Neodiprion lecontei: one gene and its partner. The protein of the gene in region 2 binds, or shares a complex with, the protein of the main gene of each other region. Links are inferred from orthologs where the notes say so. Each region holds a gene or a part of one and is shown on either strand. Other genes may lie near its edges.

Region 1 (6,629 bases), on a different chromosome or scaffold from region 2:
ATTTCGAGTTCCAATAGCAGTCCAAATACCATGAAGTTACAGTGGAATTTGGGGCAACATAAGGCACTGTGGTACTTTGCTGGATCGTTTTTGATCAGAATTGCATGCTGCCACCGCGGTGATTTGTTACGTACATAGCTGAGCGACTGTGAAGGATTCGACCCTAAAGTCTGCTATCCACTCGACTCATAGTGAAAGATATGCTGGGTCAATGAAGAAATGCATATGTCGAGTCATCATTTTATCCGTATGAATGTTGTTTGTTGACGTCTTATAACAAGTAAATATCGGTGGGCGATTGGTGTTACTTTGGGTCTAACAGTTCTATTTGATTGAAGTTGTTTCATTCGGTTATAGGTGTGTAGAAGCAGGATTTTCTCGCGCTCATACTCTGGTTACATCATTTTTCGGATTTCATTCAGGCCAATTTGGTGTAAAATTAAGAGGTACTGGAATGTATTGAATTATTGGTTCTTACTGAGAATAAGCTGGTAGAAATTAGTGACTGACAATGAGTTGCACAAAAGTATTTGGGGTGCATTTAATGAAAATTGTTTTATTAAAAATTGTAACTACCATTGACATATTTTATATAAAATCCCTAATATGTTAATTGTAGTCAATGCAGATTCTGTACATCACCAAAGTTTATCATGAACAAGGCTACCAAACAAACAGATAGCCCCGTAATTAAGCCTAACGAAATGTTGCACACTTCCTTGATTATCTTATTTGCGAGTGAGTGGGAGACTAACGGTGACAGGTAATCGATTGCTCACTTATGCTAATAATACAATTAAACTTATAGTCCAGATCACTCACTATCGGAACCACTGTCACTGCTACCCGAGCCACTCCCGCTGCCACTTCCTGAACCAGACCTTGATCTTGATCGCGATTTAGATCTTGACGGTGACTGCGATGGAGACTTAATGGGCGAACCAGAACCAGACCGTGATCGGGATCTGGACTTGGACCGTGATCGAGATCTGGACTGAGATCGTGATTTTGAAGTACTTCTAGATTGAGCAGATCCCGAACGAGACCTAGACTTGCTGTGAGATTTTGAACGGGAGCGTGACTTTGAACGAGACCTAGATTTTGAACGCGATCCAGATTTTGATCGAGATCTTGATTTTGAACGTGATCTTGACTTTGAACGAGATCGTGACTTCTTACTGGATGCTCGCGAAGATGCACGCGACGATGCACGGGAACCGCCTTCATTATCAGAGCCAGCTGAAAAGTACACAAATAGGTTTCATTATCATTCAGAAACGGATGTTATACATAATATACATTCAAACTCTCGACTTTAGTCTAGACAAAGTTCTTTCCAAGGTATTAAAAACGACGAACAAAACATTATGGTTACTGGTCAAAGAAAAAGTGTTTATTTTACACGAATTTTCTGTTTTCAAAAGAACTTTTAAATGTCTCGGTATACCTTTGTCTTCAGCCTTTTCAGTTTCTTGTGGTTGTCCCTCTTCCTCTTCCTCTTCTTCCTCTTCCTCTTCCTCGTCATCTTCACAGGGTGGTTCAAGCTGCTTCTCACGATAACGTTGCATCCTGAATTCATTGGCATTCAATGGTCGGTGGCGCACAACTAATCTTGTGTTATTAGGTGCCTGACCAGCCTTCTGTCTACGCTTGCTAAGACGTACTCGAGTTTCCAGCTCATTGTAGTAAACCTATACAGTGAAAAGACGATATAATGTGAGAAATTTTGCACTTTCGAAATACTAGACTACTAAAAATTGAACTTATTACAGTATTCTTGAGTTCGATATCGCTTCAATTTAAGACATAAGAATTAATATACCGAATTGCGATTTTGTTAAAAAAGGTATACAAATATTACAAACCCCGTCCTGACGCATGACAAGGAAGTAATTCTCTTCGTATCCCTTTGAAGCTTTGCTTTTAACGTTCCAGTTATACTCTCTTGCCATTTTGTACTCGTACTCCTCATCATCGGCATAGTCAATTTCTGCAGTGAAATCTCTGCGACGTTTTTCTAATGTCTCCTCTAGTGGTAAGAAGTACGCAACGAATTGTTCACCACTTTCGTCCATCACACCTCTGCAGAAAGGTATGAAATATCAAGTTAAAGACTGTCGTAAAATCCAGTTGGGATTTACAAGTTTGCCTGCACAAATTCTCAAGTTTACCTGATCATCGCCTGCGACATTTCCTCAATTTGCGCAGGTACTGATCGACCAGTCGGAGCTGGATCGGAATCAAATATTACCTGAGCACATGGGTACTTCCATACCTGTGAGTGGTATGAAATAAGCGAGATTAACAAGTGCCTTAATATTCCTAATAATAGGTCCAAAATAAAAGGAAAAATCGTCAGTTATTGCTCACCTTGAAATCAGGATAGATAGGTAATATTTCAACAGGCACAACGTTTGGTTTGCTGTAATGTTTTTCAATTAGCTTTTTATTGTCTTCAAATGTTTTCTCTATAGCTTTTATCTGACTTTCTCGATCCATGTATAATGTTTCCTCCTGTCAACAAATAAAATCATGCATTACTTGAAATGCCACACATCATGATTTGACTTTGACATTAGAAAAACAGATATCATTACCTTGAAATTCTTTTTAATACTGTAACCAACTTTAGCCTCAACCTTGTCCATAGTTTGGGGTTGAAACCGTGTCTGTTCAGTGGAGATGTACTCCGTACGTCTGAGCCATGATACACTCCGCGCATGATGCCTAGAACGTTTTGAATCTTGAGGAGTGAGGATGTCTTCTTCCAGAAGTTTCTCGTCCGCAGGATCAAGTTGGGCGTTAATATCTCCAGCATAGGTGTCCCGGTTTATTAAGTCAATCTCAACACCCAAATCATGCTCCGTCAATACTTCATATTTATAATTACGTTCCAGAGATGTCGGATTGTACTGTATGAATCTGTATGATTTACAAAGCTCTTATTATATCTGAAGTACTACCAACAAAATAACAGTTTTATTACTTTGGTTATGTCAATATTTTAAATTACATTCCTAAAACAGCTAAAATTCTCTAAAATATCGGGTTATATAACCGGATTTAATCTGCAAACTGTTAGAGTGGACATTTTTTCAATTTCGTAACATTACTCGAGAATTAGATAATTTTAAAGTATACTGGTGCTAATCATTAACCACATACAGTCAAAACTGAATGAGGACTGGGTAAGCGAGAAAACTCTGTAAGTAAGAGTAATTGTCACGTCAGTGAGACAGACCTTTCATGTACCTCTGTAAGCTAGAAACTCGGGTTAGTGAAAAACCTCTATAAGCGAAAAAGAGATTGCAGTCCCTTGAACTCTCGCTTATCCAGGTTCGACTGTATTACAATTATTAGTGAACTGCAACATATGTTAGCTCTATTACCTTGTTGATTCAAATGGATATGTGATGAACTTTGGGTCGAATGGAATATCTGGTAGGGTGTTACAGTACTTTACACGGCATAATAATTCAGACCTGAAAATCACAAGTGAAACATGTTTAATTGAATCGACCAATATTTTCTGCAGACAGGTTGCAATATCAGATTTTGTGCACATTCTTTTTTTATATTTTCTCAGCTTGAAATACAACTGATGTTTGCATTCATGTTTTTTTTTTTCTTCTGTTAATCTTTTAAATCGTTATGTACTAATGTAAGATATATACCTGTTTTCAGCTGGTCTAGGACGTTTATCAATGGCATCTTTATTATTGTTGGACTGAATGCCAGAGGTCATCTGATTCCCACTGTAATTGATGTAAATAGAAAATGTTACATTAATGAACAGGAACATTTTGATCAATTTTTCAAGCGAGGTGAATGATCAAATTTAACGATCATCAAAATAGTTGCATTACGGCAGACAAAGATCTTAGTCTCAGAGACTACAAGTTATAGCAAAATTTGCTCTCTAAGCTATGACATAAATTTGGTCGGGTAAAATGAATCGATAGTTTGCTGATATCATTAACGTTTAGATGCTAGTATACACGGTCTGTCCGGAAAGTAGTCGGACTGAATTTTTCTCGCCCAGATAGAGCGACGGAAAGAGGTCCTTTTCATGTGGGTCGGGTTGTGAGGAGTTTTAGCTAAGCAGCACACCTATCCCCAATCGCCTTCGAGCATTTCCAGAGTGTAGGTCGATTTTAAAATGAACTCCAGTCAAGGTGCCTCGTCACGCTTCGCAACGAATCGTTTATTCGAGCAGCATTGCGCGATAAAGTTTTGTTTTGAACTCAGTTCAACCGCAAGTGAAGCCCATGAAATGATCAAAAATCCCCAGTCACCCTACAGCCCAGATGTAGCTCTTGCAGACTTCCTTCTTTTCCCTCGACTCAAACGGGTTCCGAAAGGATGGCACCACGGCTTGGTCCAGGCCATTCAAGAGGTCGTGACGAGGCACCTTGACCGGGGTTCACTTTAAAATCGACCTACACTCCGGAAAGACTCGAAAGCGATTGGGGACATGTGCGCTTCTTAGCTAAGACTGCCGACAACCCGATCCACACGAAAAGGTCTCTGTCGCTCTCTCTGGGCGAGAAAAATTCAGTTCGACTACTTTCCGGACAGACCCTGTAAAAGGGTGCAAAGTAACGTTTACATGCAGAATTTAACTAGTTTGCTTCAAGAGTATATACAGAAGAGATTTTTGATAGGGTTGTGGCAGTAAAAAGTGTTGGCAGGGAGTTAGAATATATAGCGGTTCATATAATTTACCTCTTCTCAATCGGCCTAGCAGTTCGCTTGTCCCTGTCGTTACTGCTATTTGTCTGAATGGTTGGCGCCATAGCGTAAGTAGCGATGTATTTGTCAATTGCACATATTATTCACGAATTATTATAGGTACTCTAACTAATCACGATACCGCACTCCGATATTTATGAATATTTTTATAACGTATAACCTATAAGTTTTTAACCACGAACATACATCCATCCCCTGTCCCTTAACCACTGTTTACCCTCTCACACTATGCGTCGACTAAGGATACGCAAAGATTGATAGCCTGATGGGACTTTTCGTAATGGAATGTGGACGTGACAAATGCATCGTCAAGCGGCGCCCTCTGCATCCTGCCCATAGACTTATAAAGATAGTCTGAGCGCTCCTACAAGAGGTACTGAAGCTTACATATAAAGGACAGAGATATATTGGGAGGCTGCTCTCTCTTTTCAATCGATTTCATACCGGGAGACAAGGGCGTAGGGAACTGGAACAGCTATAGACATAGGTGCATAATTTCGCCTCATTCTCCTCTACCGCCTCGATCCCCGCCGCAAATATCGTCAGAGAGAGAAAGGAGTACTCCCGGCATATTTCTGTCCTTTAAATTTTTGCTTCAGTCTACCTTTTATAAGTCTATGGTCCTGCCGTGCACGCGCAACCCAATCCGGCAAATGGTTGGTACATAAAGACGACAAGAACTGATGTTACTAATCGTTCACCGCGTGTATCTAGATTTTGCCGAGTCGAATGACGTATCTATCTGTCTATCTATCTATACTTTTCAACTATGCAAGTTCATTTGAGCCTTGCCACATTCGGTAATGTTAATGTAATTCCATCAGATAGACAAAATTAATGTTATCTAAATAGATGCACAATAAATATACACCTGGTTTACTGTTAACAGAGTTAGAAACCTATTCTTGATGCAAATAATAGGAGAAATAGTCGAAGGAGTTAATTTAACCAAAGGAGAAGACATATAGTTATTCCTTACGTAATTTGTGTACTGTGACGCTGATTTTTACTGCACCTCGGCCACCCGGAGATGCGACTGATAACTTACAGCGCGTACAATCATTTGGCGGTCCGCGATGTACGCTGAAAAATAAAGACCATGCAAACGATATCGCGAGATTCTCTTGGGCGCCTGGCGTGGTCAATACTGCTTGAAATCTTTATCTCCACTAAACCTCGGGTAATATTCTCGGTAGTTCAGTACCGCGGCGAGGGGAGGGGTAATTTTGGAGAGAGGGAGAAAGACAGATAGAGAGACACTCGACAACGACACGCTATTTAACAAAAATAAAATAAAATAATACATTTTGCAATAGCGGCGATACAAAAACAAATAAAAAAAAAAGGAATTCAAAATTTGCTCTTCGTGATCCAAAATTAAACAGTAGAAAATTATTCGTAACCCACGCTACTTCTTAATATACTGAGCTTGCAGCCCACTAACCAAAATCTAACTTAATATTTACAAACCTCAAACGCGCAACCCTCAATTCGAAACCTGGACACTTTAACGCTACAGCAATAATTGCTCGAAATCGAAACTATAACTATAATTTCTCGATGGTTACTTTATATTCCCCTGGTTTGTTAAAAATACAGTTTCTTTGCATCGGAAAACCCAGACCATTCTACACAAAAATACTACTTGTCAATATTTTTTAGAAATAAGGCAACATTCGATTGTTACTAATATTTGAGTCCATGCTGTAACAAACCCTGATGATCCTTAGGCAATCATTATCTCAAAAGTAATAAAAAACAAATGTAAAGATGATCAAGGTTCCTTTTTACAACTTCTACTCATTACCTGGTTAGTTTACGACTCTGTCCGCTGACCTCCAAACACAGGATTGTTCAGAAATTTATTACCAAGTGGC
Region 2 (5,998 bases):
TGAAACTTCACGCTTCAACGGACTTGTTACTCAACTACAGGATAAACACTCCTATATTACGTTACAGCACCCACGCGATCTTTGATTTCCGTTGAACAGATTGATTTCTTCGCCGCACAAATCCCGTAATCACGCACCACGATCTTCCTCCGAAGGCAGACTGCGATCCAATAAATCTTGTAAAGTAGGCATGTAGATACGTACCTACATAACATACATAGGCGTAAGCCACGCGTAAACGAAAACACAGCGGCTGGCCGGAGGGGGATAGGAGGAAAAAATGGCAGACATATTGAGACCACGGGCTGAGACCTCACACCACATGCTTAGCCGGAAACTAACCATTCGGAAGTATGAAAACATTCACGTTTTATCATGGAAAAGAAAATTTTTCCGAATAAAAAAAATCATCACCACTGCAAATAACTGAATATTTATCGTTATACACAACCGTACTATTTATAAACATATAATATTTCCATTTTTTCAATCTATATTTCCACATAATATTCATGTACTCATTTTATTCATTTTTATACCAATATTTACACTTGATAATGCTATTCTCTTTTTTTTAACGATTATAAACCGTATTAGTCATGATATACAAACTTAATATACGTGCATGCGTATGCTGTGTGGATGATTGTGTCATCTATATATTACAAGCTGCTTAGAGCACGATTCATGTTCAGTTATTAAAATCGCAGATGTGGTTTATTCTTGATCATATGCCTGAAACAGAAATAAAACCATTATGACACCGTATATCATAAATTAGAAAGTCAACAGCTTAGAGGTCTTTTTACCTATTGGAGACCAGAAATCTTACGCTCGGAATTTGATCTACTTCTAGTTCTCTCTTGGTATACAAAAAGTTGGTGAAAAAAAGTTAGCTGCTCTATGCCTTTTCTAATCCGTTCATTCCTCCAAACTATTATCTATTACTAAACTACACTGCTCAACTGTCAAGTCAATTAAACCACTATGCAAGTGAAGTTCGATGTTTAAACAAAGTTGGTAAAACTGGTCCTCATACATACAACTTTAGAGAAAATTGCTGGCTGATATTTGACAATAGAATAGGATTAATAATAATAATAGTAATAATAATAAAACTTTGGAAGAACACGGAAGTTTGACAACACACATGCTGTAACATATTTCAAATAAATGTAAAAATGATCTGAATGCTAAGACAGCTTTTTTCCTTACAGAAAAATTAGGCAAATAAAAAAAAAAAAAAAAAAACAATAACCGTCGGAATTATTGATATTCTTTAATCGCAAAAAGTTATGAACTTCGCTATTTTGTACATAAATTGATCTTACTTGTCCAATTGCTCCCAGAAGACCATCAATGCTGCTCTATCTAAATGCCTCTTGGTGCGACTCAGTTCCACAACAGTTACTGCCCACTTGGCAACATTTGCATCTAGCTTCATTTCATCGTATTTCAAATGAAAGGCACAAACTGAAATCATATTAGTAAAAACATATAAAACTTGATCAGGCATTTTTATGAAAAGCAATAATATAAAAACTATTTGAATTCTCCAACCACCAAATGAAAAAAAGTTTGGGTGACAAAAACTTAATTACAGAATAAAACTACAGGATCTGTCACGTATCCAAGTGACATTGACCAGTAATGTAGATATATTGAATTGTCTTACTTTTTGAAAATATCTCGACAGGATTTCCGTCGTAAGGCCAACCTTTGAACTGCCATGCAGGACCCATAACAAACACCGCAACGACTCTCTCCCAGTCTGCATTTGTCAACTTTTGGGGATTATCAACAACTCTATAAGGAACAGTGAGACCACCATCTTTTCTTCGCTGAAGAAGAATCTCATTCTCCCTTTTACCACCTTGTGCTCGCTTTTCCTCGTTGCTAACATACTTCAATTCTTGCAATACTTCTTTGGCATTGTACATCGTTATAAGAGATGTAGTTGCACTGGGTATAATTATTATGGGTGTTCTACTTGGTCTTTTATTCTGAGCTGCTTGTTGTGGAGTCAGTTTTGCAGCAGATGCAGGAAGTAATCCGGAGCTTGGTGTAGCAGCAGGATTGACTGTGGGCTTTCTTATTGCGGGATTGGTACCTTCAGTCACAGATTTTAGCGTCATACCATGATAAGTCCCCATTGTGTCGATTTTAAATCCCTCAGTTTCTTCTTTTTGACGAATAAATCTTTCCTGGTCATAACGATTGTAAACTGCTGGTTGTGGCAATGGGCGCATAGGTGTAGACCTTGGCGTAACCATTGGTGCGGGTATTGCAGGCCCTTTTTGCATCCTGCCTTCTTCTCTGGCTTTGATACTTTGAAGTATGGCAAATATGTTCTTGGCAAACATTTTACCTGCACTTTGAAGTATCGTTGCTCTAGTTCTCCACTGTCTTTCTCTAGATACGATGTCCTTAGTATCATCGACATCCATGTCTAGTATAACACGCAAATCCGAACCCATACCAATGTCGTCATTTTCCTTGATTGTAGTACGCTTTTTTGCCAAACGTTTAGCTTTGATTGCAGCAATTTTCTCAACAGACATTGCCTCTGAAAGAGATTTGATATTGTCGACTGTGACAGAAGCTTCTTTTGGCGCATCCAGTCGCGCTGCCAATTGTTCCTTCACCTTCTGAACATGTGTCTCTTCAAAACGTGGCTTCTTAGAAAGTCCCGCATCTAGCCCATCTTCGGCAGTTCGTTTTACTTGTGTTGGTATTTCCAATGGAGCTGATTTATCTATGGAGGCTGAGGTGGCTGTTTCACCATTAAGGTAAGCCAGCAGATCTTTTCTGTCCGGACGGCGCACCACAGGTATATTCTCTGCGGCGGCTTGCCGCACATACACTGGATGCGTGAGTTGAACATGTTTCAATAAAAACAAAAGGCATTCAAGAGTATAGTACTCCTTAGGTGTGCCTTCCTTTCCGGATCTGCAAAATGTAAGCAGAAAACTGAAAATTTCACAACCAAACAATTACAAGGACTACAAAATATATGTCGATTCGTAGACAAACCCAAAAACTAACATGCAATTGAAATCTTACCACTTTGTAATATAAAAAAAATTAAATTCATGACATTTCACATTTTGACAACGATCAAGCTATTATCTTATATTTCTTATTTGCGTTTCGTTATGTCACTGAAGTTTCATGTCTCGCTGACTCGTTTGATGCGAGTGAAATCGAGATATAAACATTGCGCAATTGTTTTGGATAATTATAAATGTAGGTAATTGTTTACAGCTTCATTTTACATTTCATAGTGTTCAAATCTATGATTATGCAATAATAAATTTAATAAACATGTTTTGTTTATTTTGCGATTCGCTGGAGAAAAAGTATGTGAGAAGGTATAATGATACCTCTTTTTTCACATCGTGGATTACACTTGAACATTCATCAACAATGTATGATATCTGAATGCTAGTAGAAATCAAGTTTGAAATTTGTGAACAGCAGAAAATCTTATCGTATCTCCGTAGAAATTTCACATTTGATTCGTTCGTAAATTCCAAAATACAGCGACAGCTACGTCGATGTACAAAAAGAAAATCTTCATAATAAATAGGAGGAAGCACGTAAACTTTACTGCGTTTGTTTGCTACATTTACTCAATGTATCAGAGCGTGTTTGCATCACACGAAAAGACTTCACCTTATTATACGTGTACAAATTTGTTGAGAAATGGCCCGCGTTGAATTTCATCCGCCACTGAAGTAACCAGTTCTTAAAATATCGGTGAAGAATAAGGATTGTATAACACTGATTTCAGTCAGCTACACATGAATGCAATATGAAAACTTAAATAATCTTTGTGCCAAAAAAAGCAAAACGACGAGCCTGATTTTTGGTTGTAGTTTGCCCAGATTGGAAAGTAGTATAAGAAATATAATGAGATTTTTTGGATGAGATCCTTACCCGTATGTCAAATAGTTTGTCTTGACATTTTTTGGCCATGAGAATTCACCAAATATAATTTGGTTTTCACGTTCAATAATTTCCTTTTTATTTACGTTGAATTGGCGAAGCAAACTCAACGGATCCGCCATGGTTGTTTACCGTGACGGTTTCGTTCCGCAGTTCCCACCGTCCACCACCGTCCACGCACGCTTCTACTGAGCAGAGAGTACTGAGGTTGTACAGGCCGACTTTGGGTACGTTCGACTGGGTCGCTTTGAGCCACATTGAGCACTCTGCATTGAGCGCTGTGAGCGCCATATCCTATAGCATTTATATGTATATTTATATATGTGCTGAAGCCTGAAGCCGTAAGCGCCCAAGTCGAACGCACCCATTGCTTTCCGCTGAAAACCAGACTCGCGTGTCGACAAAACACACGTGTTCGTGTAAGTCGTGACATTTTTGAATTCGAAAGATGGTTCGAAAATTGAAACATCACGAGAAGAAGTTACTGAAAAAAGTAGACTTTATTTCTTGGGAGGTAGACAATAACTTGCACGAGATTAAAATTTTGAAAAAATACCGAATCCAAAAAAGAGAAGATTATACGAAGTGAGTTGTCATTTTCAGTATAACCTCCACATGATCGAAATATTCGATACATTTCTCTCAGAGATATTGACATCACCTAAGCTACTGTTTCCTTAAAACTGTTCGTTATGTTTCTAATTTTTAACTTATGTGTACGTATAACAACTACTTTATTTCAGATACAACAAATTATCACGACAAATTCGAGAACTGGCTAGAAAGATCAAGGAAGTAGATGCTGAACATCCATTCAGAATAGAACAAAGTGCCATGTTGCTGGAGAAATTGTATATGATGGGTCTCATTTCCACTAAGTGGGATTTATCTCTGTGCGAGAAAGTTACAGCCAGCTGTTTTTGTAGAAGAAGATTACCTGTCGTTATGGTTCGTAATAAAATGAGTGAAACCATTAAAATGGCGACAAAGCTAATCGAACAAGCTCATGTACGAGTTGGACCTGAAGTCATTAAGGACCCAGCATTTCTTGTAACAAGGTATATACTTTTTTTTAAATCATTAATATCCTAATTTAATCAAAACAAATTGGCATTATTTTTAAAAATATAATGATATACTTTTCTAATTTACTTAGGGTAGTTGACGGTAGAGTTAATAAATAATACATATTCTATATCAGTTATAACTTACCAGAGTAACTTGAAAGATATTTCTGTGAATACTTTACAGTTTTTCCTGGTTCACATTAAAGATCTTAGAACTAGACAATAATCCTTATTCTATATGACATTTGAGAGACGTAAAGTAATTATTCAGTTTGATATTAAACAGTAAATTTAGTTTTAATCTGTAAATAATAAGACCAAATAAAATTAACTGGTACAAGTATCTACCAATTTTTAAATTTTGCTAACTATCTGAAATTGACATCCCTAAAATGCTAATCGTAATAATTTTCGATTTCCAGAAACTTGGAAGACTTTGTGACATGGGTTGATACTTCAGCAATAAGGAAACATGTATTGGAATACAATGAAATGGTAGGTGTCATGTTCTGGAGCAAGTAATAATATGTCGTTTGTTACACTTTGTGTTGCAAAATCTAAGAAAATGTTCTAATACACAACATTTTTCAACATATTTCGTTACAATTTGTGACAATCATTTATCTAATCAATTGCATGTGCTGTACTGTTTCAGAAAGATGACTTTGAGGGTATATGAACATTCTGATGAAATGCCGCAGAACAATCAATGGCGATATAGTTTTCTGAAACCAGTTTCCTGATCTTTATTACCGTTGTAAAAAACTGCAGTATTATTCAACAGTCGTAGTGGTCTCCCTAGTTTCACGTGGGATGAAGGCAGTGAACAATTACGTGAAGAAATGCTCGGATTTGTTGTATCGCGTATTTCCATGTAATCACTTGTTGAGAATAAATCTTTTGACGGTATTGACAATTTCTCCGGCGAATAAAAAGTGGTATTTTCACGAGCACGCTTTGCATTGTTCGCATCATGAATGTTA

The links. Proteins that work in one complex are often made in the same cells at the same time.
Region 1: parafibromin (region 2) and RNA polymerase II-associated factor 1 homolog share a complex: the UniProt entries of both Caenorhabditis elegans proteins name them as parts of the PAF1 complex. The link is inferred for Neodiprion lecontei from reciprocal best matches to the Caenorhabditis elegans genes cdc-73 and pafo-1.

What each region holds. Positions count from the first base shown.
Region 1 is NC_060263.1:34,360,282-34,366,910, reverse strand, and holds RNA polymerase II-associated factor 1 homolog, read right to left. Parts: upstream 5,010-6,629; 5' UTR 4,797-5,009; coding exon 4,726-4,796; intron 3,756-4,725; coding exon 3,675-3,755; intron 3,483-3,674; coding exon 3,390-3,482; intron 2,923-3,389; coding exon 2,598-2,922; intron 2,515-2,597; coding exon 2,371-2,514; intron 2,276-2,370; coding exon 2,172-2,275; intron 2,083-2,171; coding exon 1,866-2,082; intron 1,692-1,865; coding exon 1,448-1,691; intron 1,240-1,447; coding exon 815-1,239; 3' UTR 530-814; downstream 1-529. UniProt on the Caenorhabditis elegans protein: Component of the PAF1 complex which is a multifunctional complex involved in transcription initiation via genetic interactions with TATA-binding proteins, elongation and transcription-coupled histone modification.
Region 2 is NC_060262.1:32,034,146-32,040,143, forward strand, and holds parafibromin, read right to left. Parts: upstream 4,158-5,998; 5' UTR 4,071-4,157; coding exon 3,940-4,070; intron 2,950-3,939; coding exon 1,676-2,949; intron 1,474-1,675; coding exon 1,332-1,473; intron 736-1,331; coding exon 699-735; 3' UTR 508-698; downstream 1-507. Other genes in the region: U3 small nucleolar ribonucleoprotein protein IMP3, read left to right, coding at 4,397-4,533, 4,692-5,006, 5,438-5,510, 5,671-5,694; uncharacterized protein LOC124293362, read right to left, coding at 5,722-5,998. UniProt on the Caenorhabditis elegans protein: Component of the PAF1 complex which is a multifunctional complex involved in transcription initiation via genetic interactions with TATA-binding proteins, elongation and transcription-coupled histone modification.